Oryctolagus cuniculus: one gene and its partners. The protein of the gene in region 4 interacts with the protein of the main gene of each other region in a biochemical or structural test. Links are inferred from orthologs where the notes say so. Each region holds a gene or a part of one and is shown on either strand. Other genes may lie near its edges.

Region 1 (4,927 bases), on a different chromosome or scaffold from region 4:
TTTAGTGTGCAACATTCAAGAAGCTCAACTAACTCCAGCCAGGACAAGCTGAAGACATGCCACGGCGGGCTGTCGAGCAGAGCGGCTTGCTGTGTACCAACGATCCTCTCATGAGAAAGCAGAGGCCAGAAGGCGGTTAAAAGTGCTTGAAAGAGGACTATAAGCCCAGAATTCTACCCAGCAAACCAGCATGAAGGAGAAATTCAGACATTCCCTACGGGAAACACTGAGTGCTTCAGGTTGGCATGAGAGGACACTGGATGGTGACATAAAACTCAGCCTGGCAAAGGTAACGACGTAGGTGAATGTAAAAATAAAGGCCTTTTTTCCTCTGATTTAAAAGACAAGTGCATAGAAGCAGTAAGTTGCAAATGTGTTAACGGGTGTACGATGTCTGAAAATGTAACCTGGGGTTGGCACTGTGTCTCAGCGGGTAAAGCCGCCACCTATATTTCCAGCATCCCATATGGGTGCTAGTTCAAGTACCAGCTACCTCTCTTCCAGTCCAGCTCTCTGCTATGGCCTGGGAAAGCAGCAGAAGATGGTCCAAGTGGACCCCTGCACCTGCATAGGAGATCCAGAAGAAGCTACTGGCTTCAGATTGGCACAGCTCCAGACGTTGTGGCCATCTGAGGAGTGAACCAGCGGATGGAAGACCTCTCTGCCTCTCCAACACATAAATCTTTATAGTCATACAGGTTACATATTTTTAAATAAACTGGCATTAATCCCAAATAGGTTATATTATTAAAATTTATTTATTTGAAACTCAGTTACAGAGAAGTAGAGGCAGAGAGAGAGCTCTTCTATCCACTGGTTCACTCCTCAAATGAATACAATGGCCAGGGCTGGGCCAGGCCAAAGACAGGATCCAGGAGCTTCATCCAAATCTCCGATGTGGGTGCAGGGGCCCAGGCTACTTTCCCAGGCACATCAGCAGGGAGCTGGAATGGAAGCAGTTGACCCCAGGCCCGAAAACATCCATTTCAAATGAAAGTTGCCAATAATGGAGGAAGAGAGGAATAGAAAAAAGAGGAGTGGGCATGGTGATCCAAAGGGTTAAGCTGCCTACGATGCCGGCATCTGTTTGAGTCCCAGCTACCCCACTCCAATCCAGCTCCCTGCAAATGTGCCTGGGAATGCAGTGGGAGATGGCCCAGGGGCTTGGGCCCTTGTACCACCTTGTGAGAGCTGGATGAAGCTCCCGCCTGGCCGAGCTGTTGGCCGTTTGGGGACTGAACCAGCAGATCACGGTCTGCCTGCACATGACCGCACAGCGGCTCCGCCCAGGCGCCCTGCGGTACCTTGGTCACGTCGTCGGAGATGCTGTAGTCCAGGAACCGCAGCAGGGTCAGGTAGACGCGGAACTTGCTGAGCGCCGAGGGCAGCACGCCGGCCAGCAGGCTGCTCATGTGCTCCTCCATGTTGGGTGGGACGAGCTGGGGCTGCAAGTGCACCTGGCAGTCGGCCTGCACAGAGAAGCAGGACGCGGTCTCCCCACGTTCCTGATTTAATCTCCGTTTTCGGGAGGGTGCGACATCGCTAGCAGCCGCCAGGGGAGTTAGAAAACACCGTTTCTGGTTTCTACGCACTAGGGGACCTGCGCAGTGCTGACAGAAGATGGCTGGCTCTCGGTTACCCAGCACGCTCCCAGACAGCTGCCCAGCGAGCCTTGCCCTGTCACGGGCGCCTCCTCTCCAGCGGTGGGGGCATCATAGACACCTGGCAACCAGCAGGACTGGTCACCCTGAACACAGCGCCAAGGGACTAGGAGCATCTGCCAAGATCTCTAGAGCATTTCTCACACAAGCTTGGCTGAAAACAACAGGGTGATACTCGGGCAAGTAACCAGCCACTTCTACCTCCCAGGCCACGACGTGGCAGCCCTGCTGCCAGGGGCTTTGCATACCTTGTACTGTGTGGACACCTGCTTCTTTGCAAATAGAAGCTTTCACCCCAAGGAAGGAACAGAATAATCAATTTCCTTATTAACAATCAGTAGCCACAAGTTGTATACGAGTGCAGCGCACTGATTATCAGCAGCATCAAAACCCGGCGCAGGGTAACTGAGCCCCTCCAGGCACACAGGCCCCGGCCTACCGGGAGGAGGGAGCGCCCCTCCGAGGTGATGAGAACGTTGATGTTGCAAGGGAACTCCATCTGGTGGTAGCTAAAGTCGTAATCCACCTTCTGCCAGGTTATGAGCTTGCTCAGGGCAGTCACGTTGTGGACCCCTAGAAAAGCGAGGCCATTTCCAGTCATTGGATTTGAATCACCAAATTAGTTTTGCTGACACAGATGTTAGCACATGAGGTTCCCACTGCTTTATTAAAGGATATAGAGCCCTCTCCAATTTACTAAATATTCCTTAGGTGATATGCTCCACAGACAACAGGGCTTTTCTGTCAAGCTAGAACCTTCTAGGGTGAAGATGTCCCCAAATCAAACGCCTCGTGTCTGATGTGCCACAGGGCATAAAGGATCCAAGGCAATGTGCTCCTACGGCCTGAAATAATGATAGGGCTAAAACTTTTTAAAAAAGATTTACTTTAATTATTTGAAAGGCAGATTTACAGACAGGGAAAGAGAAGGATCTTCCATGTACTGGTTCACTCTCCAGATGGCCGCAATGGAGGGTTCGACCAGGCTGAAGCCAGGAGCTATATCGGATCCTGGTCCCCCACATAGGTGGCAGGAGCCTGGACACTTGGACCCTCTCCACAGGCAAGGAGCTGGATAGAAGTGGGGCAGCTGGGACACAAAGCAGCACCCGTATGAGATGCTGGCATCACAGGGGGCAGCTTTACCCATGATGCTACAGCAGCCCTGTGATGTTTACTGATGTTTTATACTCTCTTCTACTTTACATGTACTCAGTCTGCATTATTTTTTTCTTCTCCTCTTACCTCCTGAACTTATCACCAGCAGTCGCATCTCCATTCTCTGTGTTTCAGCATGGATAAAAGTCTGTTTTCTGGGGCTGGCGCTGTGGTGCAGTAGGTTAATGCCCTAGCCTGAAGCACCAGCATCCCATATGGGCACCAGTACAAGACCCAGGTGCTCCACTTCCCATCCAGCTCTCTGCTGTGGCCTGGGAAAGCAGTAGAAGATGGCCCAAGTCCTTGGGCCCCTGCACCTACGTGGGAGACCTGAAGAAGCTCCCGGCTTCAGATCAGCGCAGCTCCAGCCATTGTGGCCATCTGGGGAGTGAACCATCAGATGGAAGACCTCTTTCTCTCTGCCTCTCCTCTCTGTGTGTAACTCTGACTTGCAAATAAATAAAACTTTTAAAAAGTGTTTTCCTATAAATTTAATAACATGTTCCATAACTGAGGTTACTTCAAACTATGTGGTCTATTACATACTTTCTCAGAGGTTCCCTGAAAACTTTATACTGGAGGCAAGAGTTTGGCAGAGCACTTAAACTATTGCTTAGGACACTGGCGTCCTGTATGAGAGGGCCTGGTTCAAGTCCTGGCTCCTCTGCGTACAGTCCAGCTTCTTCCTAATGTACATCCTGGGAGGCTGCAGGTGACAGAACATGTGGGGGACCCATGTGGAGCTTTGGGCTCTTGGCTGTTGAGGGTCTCTGGGGAGTGAACCACTGGATGGAAGATACCGCTTTCCCTCTTTCTGCTTTTCAAATGAAAATAAATACATAGCACAGCTGGTAGAGCTTGCTGCCTGCGATGCCAGCATCCCACATGGGCACGGGTTCGTGTCCTGGTTGTTCCCCTTCCGATCCACCTCCCTGCTAATGGCCTAGGGAAAAAGCAATGGAAGATGGCCCAAGTGTTTGGGCCCCTGCACCCACATGGGAGACCCAAATGAGACTCTCGGCTTCGGCCTGGCCCAGCACCAGCTGTTGTGGTCATTTGGAAAGTGAATAGCGGATGGACAATCAATCTCTGACTTTCAAATAAATAAGTCTTTAAAAAAAGAAAAAGAAATGTGACTTTGTTCAGAGATACCCTATCTCAGGTCATTTGTACATCTGCCTTTCAGGGCAGGGAGGGTGGAGGTGGAGGAGGAGCCCCGCCCCTACCTGGGCTGTCCAGCTGACCCTGCTCCAGGAGCGTCTCGTCAATGACGAGGGAGGTGTTGCTGGGCAGCTGCAGGAGTCCACTGACCAAGCGATTCGCCGCGTAGTCTTTGTGGGGGATGAACTTCAAATGGTTCATGTTCTCTATCGTCATCTGTAGGCGAAAAGACTGCAGAGAAGTTTTCTTATAAGCAAGGATCTAAGTTTCCCTGTTTTAATATTGGGATACTTCAAAAAGTTTGTGGAGGATCCAATTAAAAGCTTGTAATGGGGGCCAGCTCTGTGGTGCAGCATGTTAAGCTGCCGCCTGCAGTGCTGGCATCCCATGTGGGTGCCAGCTGGAGTCCTGGCTGCTCCACTCTGATCCAGCTCTCTGTTATGGACTGAGAAAGCACTGGAAGATGGCCCAAGTCCTTGGGCCCCTGTACCTGCGTAGGAGACCCAGGAGAAGCTCCTGGCTCCTGATTGGCCCAGCTCCAGCCATTGCGGCCATTTGGGGAGTGAATCAGCAGATGGAAGACCTCTCTCTCTCTCTCTAACTCTCCTTTTAAATAAATAATAAATGTTTTTTTTTTTTTTTTTTTTTTTTTTTTTTGACAGGCAGAGTGGACAGTGAGAGAGAGAGACAGAGAGAGAAAGGTCTTCCTTTGCCGTTGGTTCACCCTCCAATGGCCGCCGCTGCAGCCGGCGCACCGCGCTGATCCTGGCAGGAGCCAGGAGCCAGGTGCTTTTCCTGGTCTCCCATGGGGTGCAGGGCCCAAGCACCTGGGCCATCCTCCACTGCACTCCCTGGCCATAGCAGAGAGCTGGCCTGGAAGAGGGGCAACCGGGACAGAATCCGGCGCCCTGACCGGGACTAGAACCCGGTGTGCCGGCGCCGCAAGG
Region 2 (4,170 bases), on a different chromosome or scaffold from region 4:
TAATTACTAAAGGTACCAACAGGATTTTTTTTTAATTATTTTTTAAATTTTTTAAGAAAGCTTTTATTTAATGAATACAAATTTCATAGGTACAGCTTTAGGAATATAGTGGTTCTTCCCCCTATACCCACCCTCCCACCCCCACTCCAATCCCACCTCCTGCTCCCTCTCCCATCCCATTCTTAATTAGTATTCATTTTTTAATTAACTTTATATACAGAAGACCAACTCTATTCTAAGATTTCCAGTTTGCACCCACACAAACACACAAAGTATGAAGTACTGTTTGAAAACAAGTTTTGTAGTTAATTCTCATAGTACAACTCATTAAGGACAGAGGTCCTACATGGAGAGTAAGTGCACAGTGATTCCCAACAGGACTTTTAACTGAAAATACAGTTTAGTCAATGTACAATGACTACATACTGATTAAGGAAAATGGTCCTAATTAGATTATTATTGAGATTAAAGGGTGATGCTCACTAAATGGATACCCCTGTACCTAGAGTTAGTGATGATTCAATAAGTTATTCTGTCTTTAGATCTATTTTAGACTAATGGTATTTATTTTGATTTATAAAGATACTTATATTAATTTTGACTTCCTGCAGCCTCCCTACACCCCGTTAAAGATTTATTTGAAAGCTGGCAGAGTTAGAGAGGGAGAGACAGAGAGAAGGATCCTTCATCCACTGGTTCACTCCTCAGATGACTGCAATGGCTAGGGCTGGGCCAGGCCAGAGTCAGGAGCTTCATTGGGTCTCCCACATGGGTAGCAGGAGCTGAAGAACCTAAGACATCTTCTGGTGCTTTCTCAGGCCATTAGCAGGGAGCTGGATCAGAAGTGGAGCAGCTGGGACCCAAATCAGGAACCATTCTGATTGAAGGGGCAGACAAAATTGTATTACATTTATCATTATTATTTGTGTTATATATAACATAAAACATAGTTGGTGAGCTGTTAACTTCTGTATTTGTATAGATTGTTTCATAAAACGACCATCACAAGGATATCAAGACACTATAAAGAAAAGGGTTTCAGGTTAAATATGTGCCATCTTTAGAAGTATAAACATTTTAAGTTCTCATTTTATTCTTAAATAATAAGTATTTTCTACCTTTGATTTCTCAATAAATACTCAATTTTCCACAATGCTAAATAAGAAGAGTAAAATATTCATTAATACAAATCAAAAGTACAGAAGTAAAGAAATTTTTCAGAATCATGAGAGCAAAATTAAGAGCAGGCCCAAATTCATTTACTATCATTTTTCTTGACTGTACATGATTAAACTAGTTTTAAGCACCCAGTTCAGGATATTTGATAACTTTGGGGTGGAGAGTGAAGAATGTGGAAAAGAGTGAGAAGAATTTTCAGCTGTATCTGTAAAGTCTTGATTACTTTAAAAACATCTTAAAAATAAATTAGACAAAATGTTGAGTTCTGTGCTTTTGTGATATTTTCTAAGTTAGGTAGGTTTCTTAAATAGTTTTAAGATATTTTTGCTAATTCTGTTTCTAACAAGATTTTGTTTTGATAGCAAATATTTTAATTTTTTTTCTACAAAGAATAAAATACAGTATTGGATCCTTTTCTCCTGTTTCTGCTAATATCCTGAAAAAGACTCAACCAAAGCAAAAGCTACAATTGCAGCATATTTCTCAGAAAGACTTGAGAGAGAGTAAGATACAGGTGATGGAGCAGAATTTCCTGTGTGAAGAAACTCAGGAACCTGAACAAAAGCTTGTGTTGATTTCAGAACCCATCCACAGCGCTTCAAATGAACTGAGAGAACTCAATGAAAAAATGAGTCCTATGTTAAATACAGCTGAAAATGATACAAAACAAAATTTTACACAGCTACCTCCACATAAAAATAAACAGGAATTCATTCTTGACATTTCTGATACTAAATTAAGTAAAAACGACTTAGAAGAGCTAGGGGTAGATCACTGTCCTTGTAGGCTACAGACTTCTATACAAGTTTCTGTTTTCAGTGCAAATAGTGCTGCTCAACCAAAACAGAACTCAGATACTGTGAATTTTCCAACAAAGAATCTGAAGGAAAAGGAACTTCATTCATTACTTGGTCACAGTTCTGATCTGAGAACAATCAACAGTTCACAAGAGCACCTAACAGTTCAGGCAAAGACTCAATCCCCTCATCCTGGTGAAGAACCCAGTGAATGTGACATCAAAAATGTGGATAGTTTACGTTCTTGTAAAATACGTCGAAAAGTGAAAATGTTATTAGGACGAAATAAAAAAGAAAATCTGGAGCCAAATGCTGAATTGGATAAGAAGAGAACTGAATTTCTTATTACACAAGAAGAAAACAGAATCTGTAGTTCACCAGTACAGTCTCTACTGGACTTATTTCAGACTAGTGAGGAGAAGTCAGAATTTATGGGTTTCACAAGTTATACTGAAAACAGTGGTGTATGTGATGTTTTAGATATTTGGGAAGAGGAAAATTCTAATAATCTGTTGTCGATGTTTTTTTCTTCCCCCTCAAATTCTACATTTACTGGCTTTTAGACTTTAAAGGATGTGTATTTTTCGAAAGTCACATAGATCAAATTCTTGAAATCTATTTTAGAAATATATATAAAAATTCTTAGGAGTTTTTGGCTACCTTTGTTTACAGAACCAAATGTAAATATTAATAAAGGTGATGTTTCCAATTTTCTACAGAATTTAATATATTAGGAAAATTATAAACTTTTCACTTTGTCATATTTTACTGTGTTCATAATTATTTTGTGAGAATTATAATGAAAAATATAGTTTGCTGTATGCCACTAAAATTTGAGTTTGAGAATATTAAAAATGTATCAACATAAATTTGGATATTTTAAGTTACACTTATTGTCCATTACAATAGATTCTTATGATAACATGGCATTATTAAAAATCTGCAAATTAAAAACATTTCATGGAAAAGGAAAAGATGTGTTAATTTCTGTTAGAATTTTGGACGTCATTGTGACTCAGTTGGGTCAGGTTAGTGTTTTGTAACTGACAGATTATCTGTAGGGTAAATAGAAGCCATGAAGGAAAAACTTAACCAGCTGCAATGTGGACTATAGCTCTTGTGCTATTCTTAATTATTTACCTTTGGAAATAACTTTGAGAGTAGTGACTCATTATGCTTCTTCTAACTTAGTGTTGAGAGAAAAAGGATGGTATTGAATTGCAGATAGAGTTTTGAAATCTGTATCAGAATTGCTTTGCTCTACCACTTGCCTGTACAATATTTTGGAATAAATACACATATAACAGCAATTTATCTTTTTATCAGAAGATAGAAGGCAATAACAGTGGCATTTTTTCATGGTAGAAAATTGGTGCCATTGAATATCACATGAATACATTGTCACTAAAAATTAACTTTAGTTAACAGTTGTAAATTTTTGAAATCGTATATGGCTCCCAATATAGAATTAGTTGCATACTTTCTTATACATGGAAAGAGCATTTCCATTTCTTTCAGTACACTTGTATTATGTTAACCATTGCAGGTTACCAGTGAGAATACTGGCTTTTCAACAACTTGATTATTCTTACCAGTTCCTTAGGTAGGATCAATGAAAGAGTCTACAGTGCATATAAGCAAAGCTTGTTTTAGTTGTAGATCACTATTGTAGCATTTTCTGTCACAAATGAACATGTGTATCTCTGAATTGATGTCAAGTTTTATAGAGAGTGTTCTAAAAATCTAGAAACTTAGAAAATAATTTGAAGGGTTTTTTCCTTAAGTTAATATCTGTATGTCCCCCAAATCCAGAATAATTAAAAGGTAAACTTGCTATATTAATCTTTGACTCTACAGTGAGTCTCCTCAATTTGCAGTTATGTTTGCACCACAATTATTTGTATCATTTTGCTTCCCTGGTATTTAATGAAGGTGGGGGTGGGAGACTGAAGCTGAACCCTCTAGTAGTTGGTAAATACTTTGGATATTGGACTGAACACTGTAAGATTTTCATAATGAATAATCAGCTTTTACGAAATGTTTAGGTTGCAGTTTGTTTGAATGGTGCTATAAACTGAAGCAGGACTATCACATGGCATTTGCATTGGGTTGCATTATGGGGTGGGTACTCAGCCTATAGGATCAAAGCTGATAGAAATCCAGCATAGTTGCAGCATATAATTGTCCTGGCAAT
Region 3 (4,927 bases), on a different chromosome or scaffold from region 4:
AAACTCATTTTCTCTTCTCTGTTTATGTTCACAGCTTTTGGATATTGCTTCTTTGTAAGTTTTCTCGCTTGACTTCCCAGTTAAGATTTAGTCCTGGGGGCCAGCATTGTGATGTAGCCAATTAAGCTGCCGCCTGCAGTGCTGGCATCCTATATGGGTGCCCATTTGCACTTCCAATCTGGCTCCCTGCTGATGGCCTGGGAAAGCAGTAAAAGGTGGCCCCAGTGCTTGGGCCTCTGCCACCCATGTGGGAGACCCAGAAAAATCTCCTTGCTCCTGGCTTTAACCTGGCCCAGCCTTGGCCATGTGGCTATCTGGGGAATGAACCAGCAAATGGAAGATCTCTGTCTCTCCTTTTCTCTCTAACTTTGTCTTTCAAAGAAATAAATAAAATATTAAGAAAAAAAGATTGGGGCGGGTATTGGCATAGCTGGTAAAGCCATCACCTGTAGTGCCAGCATCCCGAACGGGCACCAATTCATATCCTGGCTGCTCCACTTCCAATACAACTCCCTGCTGATGGCCTGGGAAAAACAGTAGAAGATGGCCCAAGTGTTTAGACTCCTGCCACCCATGTGGGAAGCCAAGATGAAGTTCCTGGCTCCTGGCTTCTGTCTGGCCCAGCCCTGGCCATCACTGCCATCTGGGGAGTGAACCAGCAGATGGAAGATGTCTCTCTCTATATATAACTCTGCCTTTCAAATAAATAAATACATCTTTAAAAAATTTAAAATATTTAGTCCCATATCTAAATTTTTCTTTTAAAATGATGAATTGTTGGTGTTGTTTGTTTGCTTGTTTTACTTAATTTTTTTGGCATCTACTTATTACAGTCAGTATCAAAATCATGGAAATCAACATTATTCCATTTTCCTTACCCGTTAAGAAACATTGTGATTAAGAACATTGGTTAGGAATAAACTAACAGGATTCAACTTGTAACTCAAGGGGCAAGTTTTGGCCTCGTGACTAAGGTGCTGGTTGAGATGTTTGCCTCCGATGTTGGAGTGCGTGGGTTTGAGTCCATCTCCATTGCCAATTGTAGCTTCTTGCTAAAGTGCACCCTGGGAGGCAACAGGTGATGGCTCAAGTGCTTGGGTCCCTGCCACCTATATGCGAGGCCTAGACTGAGTCCCAGCCTGACACAGCCCCAGCCCTTGTAGGCATCTGGGAGGTGAACGAGCTCTCCCTCTGTCTGTATCTCTCTCTCCTGTGCCTCTCTAAATAATTTTAAAAGTTTTTTTTTTTTTTTTTTTTTTTTTTTTAAGTCGTGGCTCCGAGACTTACTAGTTTAATGACCTTGGACAAGTTCTTTAACCTCTCTGTGCCTGTTTCTTCATCTGTGAACATGGAAAGAAATAGTAGCACCTTCCTCGTAGGGTTTCTTTGGAGAGTAAGTGAATTTGTTGTGGTAGATACGAAGTACTTAGATCAGAGCTAGTTGTGTAGTAAGTGTTCAATTAATGTTACCTGGAATGAACGTACTATTCTTACCATCTTATCTGCTACCAAATCTCAATTCATTCTTGTTTATCTTTTCCTTCTTTTTTCGCCACTTCTAATTACCTCATATTTGAATTATTATAGTGACCTCATAGCTGATAACAATTTTTATTTTAAAAGAATGCTTGCTTTCTTATCCAAGTGAGTTAAATGTTATACTATCTTGTGATGATTTAAGTCAGTTTTATACTGCATGCATGCATTGTTAAAGTTATATTTTTTTAAAAAAAGATTAAGCTGTAATGATTCAGTTTGATCTTTCCTCTAAAGCTCACTGAACTTTTTTCCACTAGGGGGCAAGACAACGTCATGGGAGTTAAATATTGCTTTAGGAAAAATGATCATGTTGTTATTGCTATGCCATACCTAGAACATGAGTCTTTTTTGGTAAGTTTTAATATTTCTTGAATTTTTATTAGCTAAATATTTAATTGAAAACTATCTTATGACCCTATTTATAACTTTATTTTAGGACATTTTGAATTCTCTTTCCTTTCAAGAAGTACGGGAATACATGTTTAATCTGTTCAGAGCTTTGAAACGCATTCACCAGTTTGGTATTGTTCACCGTGATGTTAAGCCCAGCAATTTTTTATATAATAGACGCCTGAAAAAGTGAGTATGAAGAGTTCCTAGATAATACTTTCACTTCAATGAATTTGTGTGATAGGGTCCAGCCCTTAGACATACACTTCAGCAGTCACGTCCAAATCGTTTCTTTCTTTGTGATTAGGAAAGGAAAATGCAGAGAAGATAACTTTGTATTAGTAAAGCAGTGTATATCATTAGAGGAACTGTGGTTTAGAGTAAATAACTCTTAGTTAAGAAACTTATAATCTTTGAATTTACACATGACTTCATTTTTCTTTTCTAATAAATGAGGAATTAAACCACATAATAACCAGTTTCCTGTTTAAACATTAAAGCTCTATTTTTATGTATACTTTTTATGCTAATTATATACATAGAGGAATAAAATAACTTAAATGCTGCTGTTTATATAGTATATCATATTGAATATGGTAACAAGATTAAGAGTGTAACTTGTTTGTTGGGATTTTATAGCCATGATTTTTCTTTTTCTTTTTAAAAATTTTTTTTTCTTAATTATTTTTAACAGATTCAGTGTGCTGTGTAGATAGAATTCTAAGAACATAGTGATATTCCCTCCTTCTCCCTTTCCCTCTCTTTTCCCCTGTCACCTTTCCACCCTCCTTTCTTTGCCCTTTTATTCTTTTTTTTAGTTTTTGAGATACATATTTTAAATTTACATTACAGTAAAAAGGTTTAATACTTCACTGAATAAGAAGTTTAACAAGGTGCTGGCACTGTGGCATAGCGGGTAGGGCCGCCTGCTGCCGGTTCGAGTCCTGGCTGCTCCGCTTCCAATCCAGCTCTCTGCTAAGGCCCGGGAAAGCAGTAGAAGATGGCCCAAGTCCTTGGGACCTTGCACCCATGTAGGAGACCTGGAAGAAGCTCCTGGATCCTGGCTTTGGATCGGCGCAGCTCCGGCTGTTGCAGTCAGTTGGAGAGTGAACCAGCAGATGGAAGACCTCTCTCTCTCTGCCTCTCCTTCTCTGTGTAACTGTGACTTTCAAGTACAAGGAAAAAAAAAAAAGTTTAACAAGTAAAAAGCAAAAAGACCTGAGCTTAGTGTGACTATAGACAATAGCTATACAGAATAATTGAATGGAAAAATGACCATTTCACCCCTATAGAGTAAATTTTTTATTTTTACTTATTTGAAAGGCAGAGAAACAGGGAGACAGAGGTTTCCCATTCACTAGTTTACCCTCCAAATGCTTATAACAGCTGGGGCTGGGCCAGGCCAAAAAACCAGGAGCTGAGAACTTAATCTGGTTCTCCCACATGAGTGACAGGGACCTGGGTACTAGAACCATACCCCTGCTGCCTACCTCGGTGTACTTTAGCAGGAAGCTGGAATGGAGAGCAGAGCTGAGACTTAAACCAAGTACTCTGATAGGGCATGCAAAAGATATCCCAAGCAGCAGCTTAACTTCGGTGCTAAATGCCCACTCCTTTAGTTTTTAAAAATTAAGTCATATGTTAAAACCATTATTTCAACTTCTCTTTTAAACTTGTTTTATTAGAAATTACCTGCTGTGATGCCATCTGTGCCACGATCAGAGAATAAAGCATTGTATTTATATTGCCCCATTAACATAGGCCACTGGAAAAGAGAGAGAAAAGCAGTTGACTGTGGAGTGTGTCATTTCTTTTTCTCTTTTTTGTTTTAAGATTTATTTTATTTATATGAAAGAGCCGAGAGAGGAAGAGACAGAGAGAAACATCTTCAATTTGCTGGTTTGTTCTCCAAATAGACACAATAGTCAGAGCTGAGCAAGACTGAAGCTAGTATCCTAGAAGTCCATCTGAGTCTTCCATGCAGGTGGCAGGGACCCTGGACCCAAACACTTGGACCATCTTCTACTGCTTTTCTTAGGTATATTAGGGAGCTTGAGGGGCTGGCGCTGTGGCGCAGTGGGTTAATGCCCTGGCCTGAAGCACCGGCATCCCATATGGGCACCGGTTAGAGACCTAGCTGCTTCACTTCTAATCCAACTCTCTGCTATGGCCTGAGAAAGTAGCAGCAGATGGCCCATATCCTTGGGCCCCTGCACCCATGTGGGAGACTTGGAAAAGCTCCTGGCTTCGGAATGGCACAGCTCCGGCCATATGGTCAGTTGGGGGTGAACCATCGGATGGAAGACCTCTCTCTCTCTCTGCCTTTCCTCTCTCTGTGTAACTCTTTCAAATAAATAAATCTTAAAAAAAAAAAAAAAAAAGAGCTGGAACAAAATGGAGCAGCTGGGACTTTAACTGGGGCACCCGTAGGAGATGCCAGTATTGCAGTTAGCAGTTTAGCCTGCTAAGCCATAGTGCCAGCTCCTGGAATATATAATTTCTTTTTTTTTTTTTTTTTAAGATTTATTTGAAAGACAAAGTTACACAGAGGCAGAGAGAAGGAGAGAGAAAAGTCTTCCATCCTCTGGTTCACCCCCAAATGGCCTCAACAGCTGGAACTGGGCTCATCTGACCCAGAGCCAGGAGCTTCCTCCAGGCCTCCCACAGGGTTGCAGGGGCCCAGCAATTAGGCCATCTTCTGCTTTCCCAGGCCATAGGAGAGAGCTGAATCAGAAGTGGAGCAGCCAGAACTTGAACAGGCGCCCATATGGGATGGCGGCACTGCAGGTGGTGGCTTTACCTGCTATGCTACAGCGCCAGCCCCTATATCATTTCTTAATTTTCAATTCTACCTTGGTGTTAAATCCTTGCTTTGTAAAATGTATTTTTTTTTCTTGAACACTGTTCTTTCTTTCTTTCTTTCTTTTTTTTTTTTTTTTTTTTTGACAGGCAGAATTAGAGAGAGAGAAAGGTCTTCCTTTTTCCATTGATTCACCCC
Region 4 (4,927 bases):
CTCACCAAATGCCTGCCAACAACCAGGGCTGAGCCTCAACTTCATCCAAGTCTCCCATAATGGCAGGGGACCAAGCACTTGAGCCACCATCTGCTGCCTCTCAGGATGCATTAGCAGGAATGCCAGACTGGACATGGAGCAGCCATGACTTGAACTAGCACTCCAATATGAGATGCAGGCATTTGAAGCAGTGGTTCAACCTGCTGTGCCACAACACATGGCCCGCATCATGTTCTTTTAATAAACTCTCTCCTAAAGTATTGATGCTTCTTATAAATTATCAGATTGGCTTAAGAAAATTAAGCTTAAGAAAACTGCCTTAAGAAAAACAGAATTCAACTTTACTCGTTTTACTCTGATCATTTCTCCATGCTAAAGCTTCTCTTCTTTGCATATCCTATAGAAATTTACCAAGGTCTGAGAGCTTCTCTCTCTTTTTTAGAAATTTATTGGAGTCGGTGCTGTGGCACAGTGGGTTGGTTACACCTCGATCCACGGTGTTGGCATGCCATATGGGTGCTGGTTCATGTCCTGGCTGCTCCACTTTCAATCCCGCTCCCTGCTAGTAAGCCTAGGGAAACAATGGAAGATGGGAGACCCGGAAGAAGCTCCTGGCTGCAGACTTCAGCAAGGCCCAGCCCTGGTCATTGTGGCCATTTAGGGAGTGAACCAGCAGATGAAAGATCTCCCCTCACCTCTAATTATACATTTATTTGAAAGGCAGAGTTAGAGATAGGAAGAGACAGGAAGAGATCTTCCACCTGCTGGTTCACTTCCGAAGTGGCCCCAACGGACAGGACTGTGGCAGGCTGAAGGTAGGAATCTGGAACCCCATCCAGGTCTCCCACATGGGCATCAGGGGCCCAAATGCTTGAGCCATCTTCCACTGCTTTCCCATGCACATTAGCATAGAGCTGGATCAGAAGTGGAGTAGCTGGGACTCACACTGGTGCTCATATGGAAATACCAGCATCACAGGTGGTGGTTCAACCCTGAGCCATGATGCTGACTCCTCCTCTTCATTCTTACTACCATCGCTTCTTACCCAGGCAACTAAAACTACCTGTTAAGATTTATTAAACACTGTCCCATTAAATTTCCCCTGGAAAAAAAAAAAAAAAAAGAAAAAAAAAAAAAGAAAAGAAAATCTGAGTCAGTGTTTGGTCTTCAAATCAGAGTACCTGACTTCAAGTCAGGAATCTGCTCCTGATTCCAACTTCCTGCTAAAGCACATCCTGGAATGTAGCAGGTGATGGTTCAAGTGGTTGAGTTCCTGCCACCCATCAAGTACAAATGGACTGAATTCCCAGATCCTAGGTTCAGCCTGGCCCAATCCAGGCATCCTGGGCATTTGGGGAATGAACCAGGAGATGAGGACTTTGCCTCTTAAATAATATAGCTGTATCTCCAATTCTTACAGACAGTGCTGAACTTGTCAACTAAGATTTAAGGATCCAAACACCTATAGGCTTCATATGAAATCATCTCTCAGCTGACCTCCAATTTGGATCTTAACACTTCAATCATGATCATCTCATAGCTTCCATCTTAGCCTGTCCATTCACTCATGCTTTTTTTTTAACCAATTCAAAGTTTTATACTAATATATTGCTACTTCTCCTAAGTTTTCTTAACTCCAATTCTTCTTCATCATTATCATAATAGCTACTGTTTATTCTTTGACAAATATATTTCTTTCCTTTCTCCCCTTTCATATTTATTTGGAAGAAAGAGAGACAAACAGACAGTGCTCCCATCTGGTTCACTCCCCAAATGCCCACAATGACAGACTAGGCCAGGTGCCAAAGCCAGGAGCTAGGAACTCAATCCAGCTCTCCCAAGTGGGGGGCAGGAAACTAATTACTTGAGCTATCACTGTTCCCTTCCAAGATCTGCATTAGCAGGAAGCTGGAATCAGGATACAGAACTGAGATTCAAACCCAGGTATTCTGGTATGGGACACAGGAATCTTAACTACTAAACACACATCTCTATGGTCACTTTCAACGATAATTCACATAAAGACTGAATTTAACATTACCTAAATAAACTAATTGCAAGGGCCAGAAAGGGAATCAGAACTGAATCTGGTCTAAAGAAAAGGAAAGAAATACCTTCTGAAAATCAACAAATCTCGATTTATTTGTATCCAGCAAGAATCTTCTCCTATTGGCACAAACTGGGTTTCGGCAGATATTTGGCTGTGTGTATTTGAACTGCTGTTCTACATCCTTGATCACTGTCTGACAGTCCAAGCACAGGAATGTTCCGCTCACTAGCTCTGGGTGAACTGGGTGAGTCCGTACCACCTGCCCACTGATGCGGGTGAGCAAACCAATTCTGGATGAAGTGAGTTCACGAATCCTGTTTAAAGATAAATATCCCACTAGTAAATATTCATTTCTCAACTAAGAAATCTTTCCATCCTAATGAGAAAATTCAATGATAATTTACACTTTAAAAAAAAAGGCAAAGTGTTCTTTGGACACTACTGAAAAAAAACGATTCTTTGTCAACACCCCTATTCCTAAATTACACAGTGCACACATATTCACAACAAAACATATAGATGAATAAATATGAAAAGCTAACTAAAGGACACCAAATAAAGTTAAAATTACAAACAGGATAATCTCAGCTTTGTTTTATATACTGTTTTTGCTTATCTACAATTTCTAAGAAATCATTAATTACTTTCATAATGAAGTTATCAAAGGAAAAAATGTTATACTCAGAAGTTGAAAAACTATTTCACACATACATTTTATATGAAAAACTTGGTAATTTCGTAACATATTTTCAGCAGTTTTAGTTCTCAAAAATACCACTTCAGTTACGCGACCCCCGAGCGGTCGGCGTCCCCCAACTTCTTAGAGGGATAAGTGGCGTTCAGCCACCCGAGATTGAGCAAAAATACCACTTCAATTTCTTTCAATAGTATCTTTTTAACGTAATTACTAAAGACTATTTGAAAGCTTTGTATTTAAGATAACAAAATATTCAGAAGATTTATAAATCTCTACAAGTGTTCTGAGTGCTATTTTCTCATTTTTGCCCCAAGCTTCCCTTTTTAAATGTGCTATAAAATGAACAATCATAAGAATCTGCTTCACTTTACTTACCATCCCATCTTCATAGAAAATCATGTTTTTCTAAAACTAAATGTTCTGTACAACCAGGTGTAACTAGAAAAAAGCCAATCTGTTTACAAAATGTGCACACAAAACACTATTCCTCCCCCCATATTCATCAATTTATAAGTACTTTCTTTTTATTTTTTTCAATTCTTGTCACTACCAAGCATGAATAAGTAATTTTACAGCAAGAAATCTACCTTTTGCATGATTAGGTAGAAAAAAAAATCTAAACCAAAAGATTTTACATATGAAAAACTGAGGCCCCAGGAGGCAAATGTGATTTGTGTGATATTAAACAGCTCGCTATAGCACATCAGTGTAACCTCCCAAATTTTCTGACTGTCAGCTAAATGGTACCAATATTATTTGGTGAATTCCTTTTCTAAGAAGAGTTTTTCTTACTTGTGTCTAGTAGGCAGGTCTTGAAATGCAACATAAAAATCCTTGGCAAGAGGGATCTCTTTCCGGTCTTTGACGAAAGTTTTTAAGGCCCGACACAGGTAAGGGTAAACTCTGAAAAAGAAAAAAGTCAGCTGATAGCTCAGATATCTTACATCTCTCTTGCAACAGCTGAGTCTAAGGAATTTCATCTGGTCACAATCAAGCCCTAGGACTTAACTGTACAGGACATTTCTATCATCTAATCTGGGTTTAAGAGTCTCTTTCAACCCTCTCCCATCCCACCACATAACACCAAAGATAAATGCTATACCTATCTTATCTTTGAGTAATTTAGCACTCACATTCTAGTGACAAAGGTCACTCCTTTGTCCAACACAACTCTACCTAAACCATCTGTCTTGTCAGTATGATGCTGAATACTGTGAGTTTTCACAGGGCTGTTTACAATCTAATTAAGACAACTTCATATTTGTTGTCAGGCCCTAGCATATATAGTAGTTTTTGGTTACATTCTTAACTGATAATGGATGAGGATAAGGGAGAAATTTAGCAAACACGCAGAAATGTTTCACTTGACTGGTTCATCTGGTGTATCTTAAGTCCCCAATAGCTATGGTAGCTTGGTTTAAGGAACAGACCTAGAAAAAAAAAAAAAAGATGGACAGCTCATTTAGGAAGTTTAGCACAGGTACTCACTCCTACCTCTAAACCTAATTTTCTCTCTCTCCCTCACTTGTGAGGATTCTAAGTCTTCAGGGTATATATTCTTCCAACCTTTCTTTTTTTTATAAAGATTTTATTTATCTGAAAGACAGAGCTAGAGAGAGGAGACACAGAGATAAGAGATCTTCCATCCATTGGTTCACTCCCTAAATGGCCACACAGGCCAGGAGGGACCCCGCCAGGATCTAGGAGCTTCTTCCAGGTCTCCCAGTGGATACAGGGGCCCAAGAACTTGGGCTATCTTCCACTGCTTTCCCAGGCACATTAGCAGGGAGCTGGATAGGAAATAGAGCAACCAGGATTCAAAGCAGCACACATATGGGATGCCGGTGCCACAGGCCTTACCACTATGTCATACCCCACAACTTCAGCACCCCTTCCAACTATTCCTGATAGTCAGCTACTACCTAAATACACAAGACAATTCTGTCTCCAAATCCACCAAGAGAGCATAATTCTGGCTACTTATCCCTGGATTTACATTTCTCTTTCATGACTATCCCGTGTTTATTTTAAACTGATTATAAAGACAGTCACATTTACTGTGTACCAGTTCTTGTGTACGAAGATGGTTCTTGCTGTAATAACAATTGAAAGTAGAATGAAACCCTGTATTAGTAAATATAATGCTTAATCACACTATTTCTACTCACCTCGAAAAAAAA

What was found.
Region 1: the proteins of MCM6 (region 4) and MCMBP form a complex in vitro, tested with the Homo sapiens proteins (2 studies listed by BioGRID). The link is inferred for Oryctolagus cuniculus from reciprocal best matches to the Homo sapiens genes MCM6 and MCMBP.
Region 2: of the proteins of MCM6 (region 4) and DBF4, one has a biochemical effect on the other in vitro, tested with the Homo sapiens proteins (2 studies listed by BioGRID). The link is inferred for Oryctolagus cuniculus from reciprocal best matches to the Homo sapiens genes MCM6 and DBF4.
Region 3: of the proteins of MCM6 (region 4) and CDC7, one has a biochemical effect on the other in vitro, tested with the Homo sapiens proteins (2 studies listed by BioGRID). The link is inferred for Oryctolagus cuniculus from reciprocal best matches to the Homo sapiens genes MCM6 and CDC7.

Annotation. Positions count from the first base shown.
Region 1 is NC_091446.1:10,873,192-10,878,118, reverse strand, and holds part of MCMBP (mini-chromosome maintenance complex-binding protein), read right to left. Parts: intron 4,212-4,927; coding exon 4,046-4,211; intron 2,235-4,045; coding exon 2,101-2,234; intron 1,470-2,100; coding exon 1,305-1,469; intron 1-1,304. UniProt on the Homo sapiens protein: Associated component of the MCM complex that acts as a regulator of DNA replication.
Region 2 is NC_091447.1:47,448,510-47,452,679, reverse strand, and holds the end of DBF4 (protein DBF4 homolog A), read left to right. Parts: intron 1-1,569; coding exon 1,570-2,539; 3' UTR 2,540-2,950; downstream 2,951-4,170. UniProt on the Homo sapiens protein: Regulatory subunit for CDC7 which activates its kinase activity thereby playing a central role in DNA replication and cell proliferation. Required for progression of S phase.
Region 3 is NC_091438.1:79,103,411-79,108,337, reverse strand, and holds part of CDC7 (cell division cycle 7-related protein kinase), read left to right. Parts: intron 1-1,796; coding exon 1,797-1,890; intron 1,891-1,975; coding exon 1,976-2,118; intron 2,119-2,577; exon of another isoform or gene 2,578-3,094; intron 3,095-3,621; exon of another isoform or gene 3,622-3,694; intron 3,695-4,927. UniProt on the Homo sapiens protein: Kinase involved in initiation of DNA replication. Phosphorylates critical substrates that regulate the G1/S phase transition and initiation of DNA replication, such as MCM proteins and CLASPIN.
Region 4 is NC_091434.1:107,465,316-107,470,242, reverse strand, and holds part of MCM6 (DNA replication licensing factor MCM6), read right to left. Parts: intron 3,651-4,927; coding exon 3,540-3,650; intron 2,365-3,539; coding exon 2,115-2,364; intron 1-2,114. UniProt on the Homo sapiens protein: Acts as a component of the MCM2-7 complex (MCM complex) which is the replicative helicase essential for 'once per cell cycle' DNA replication initiation and elongation in eukaryotic cells.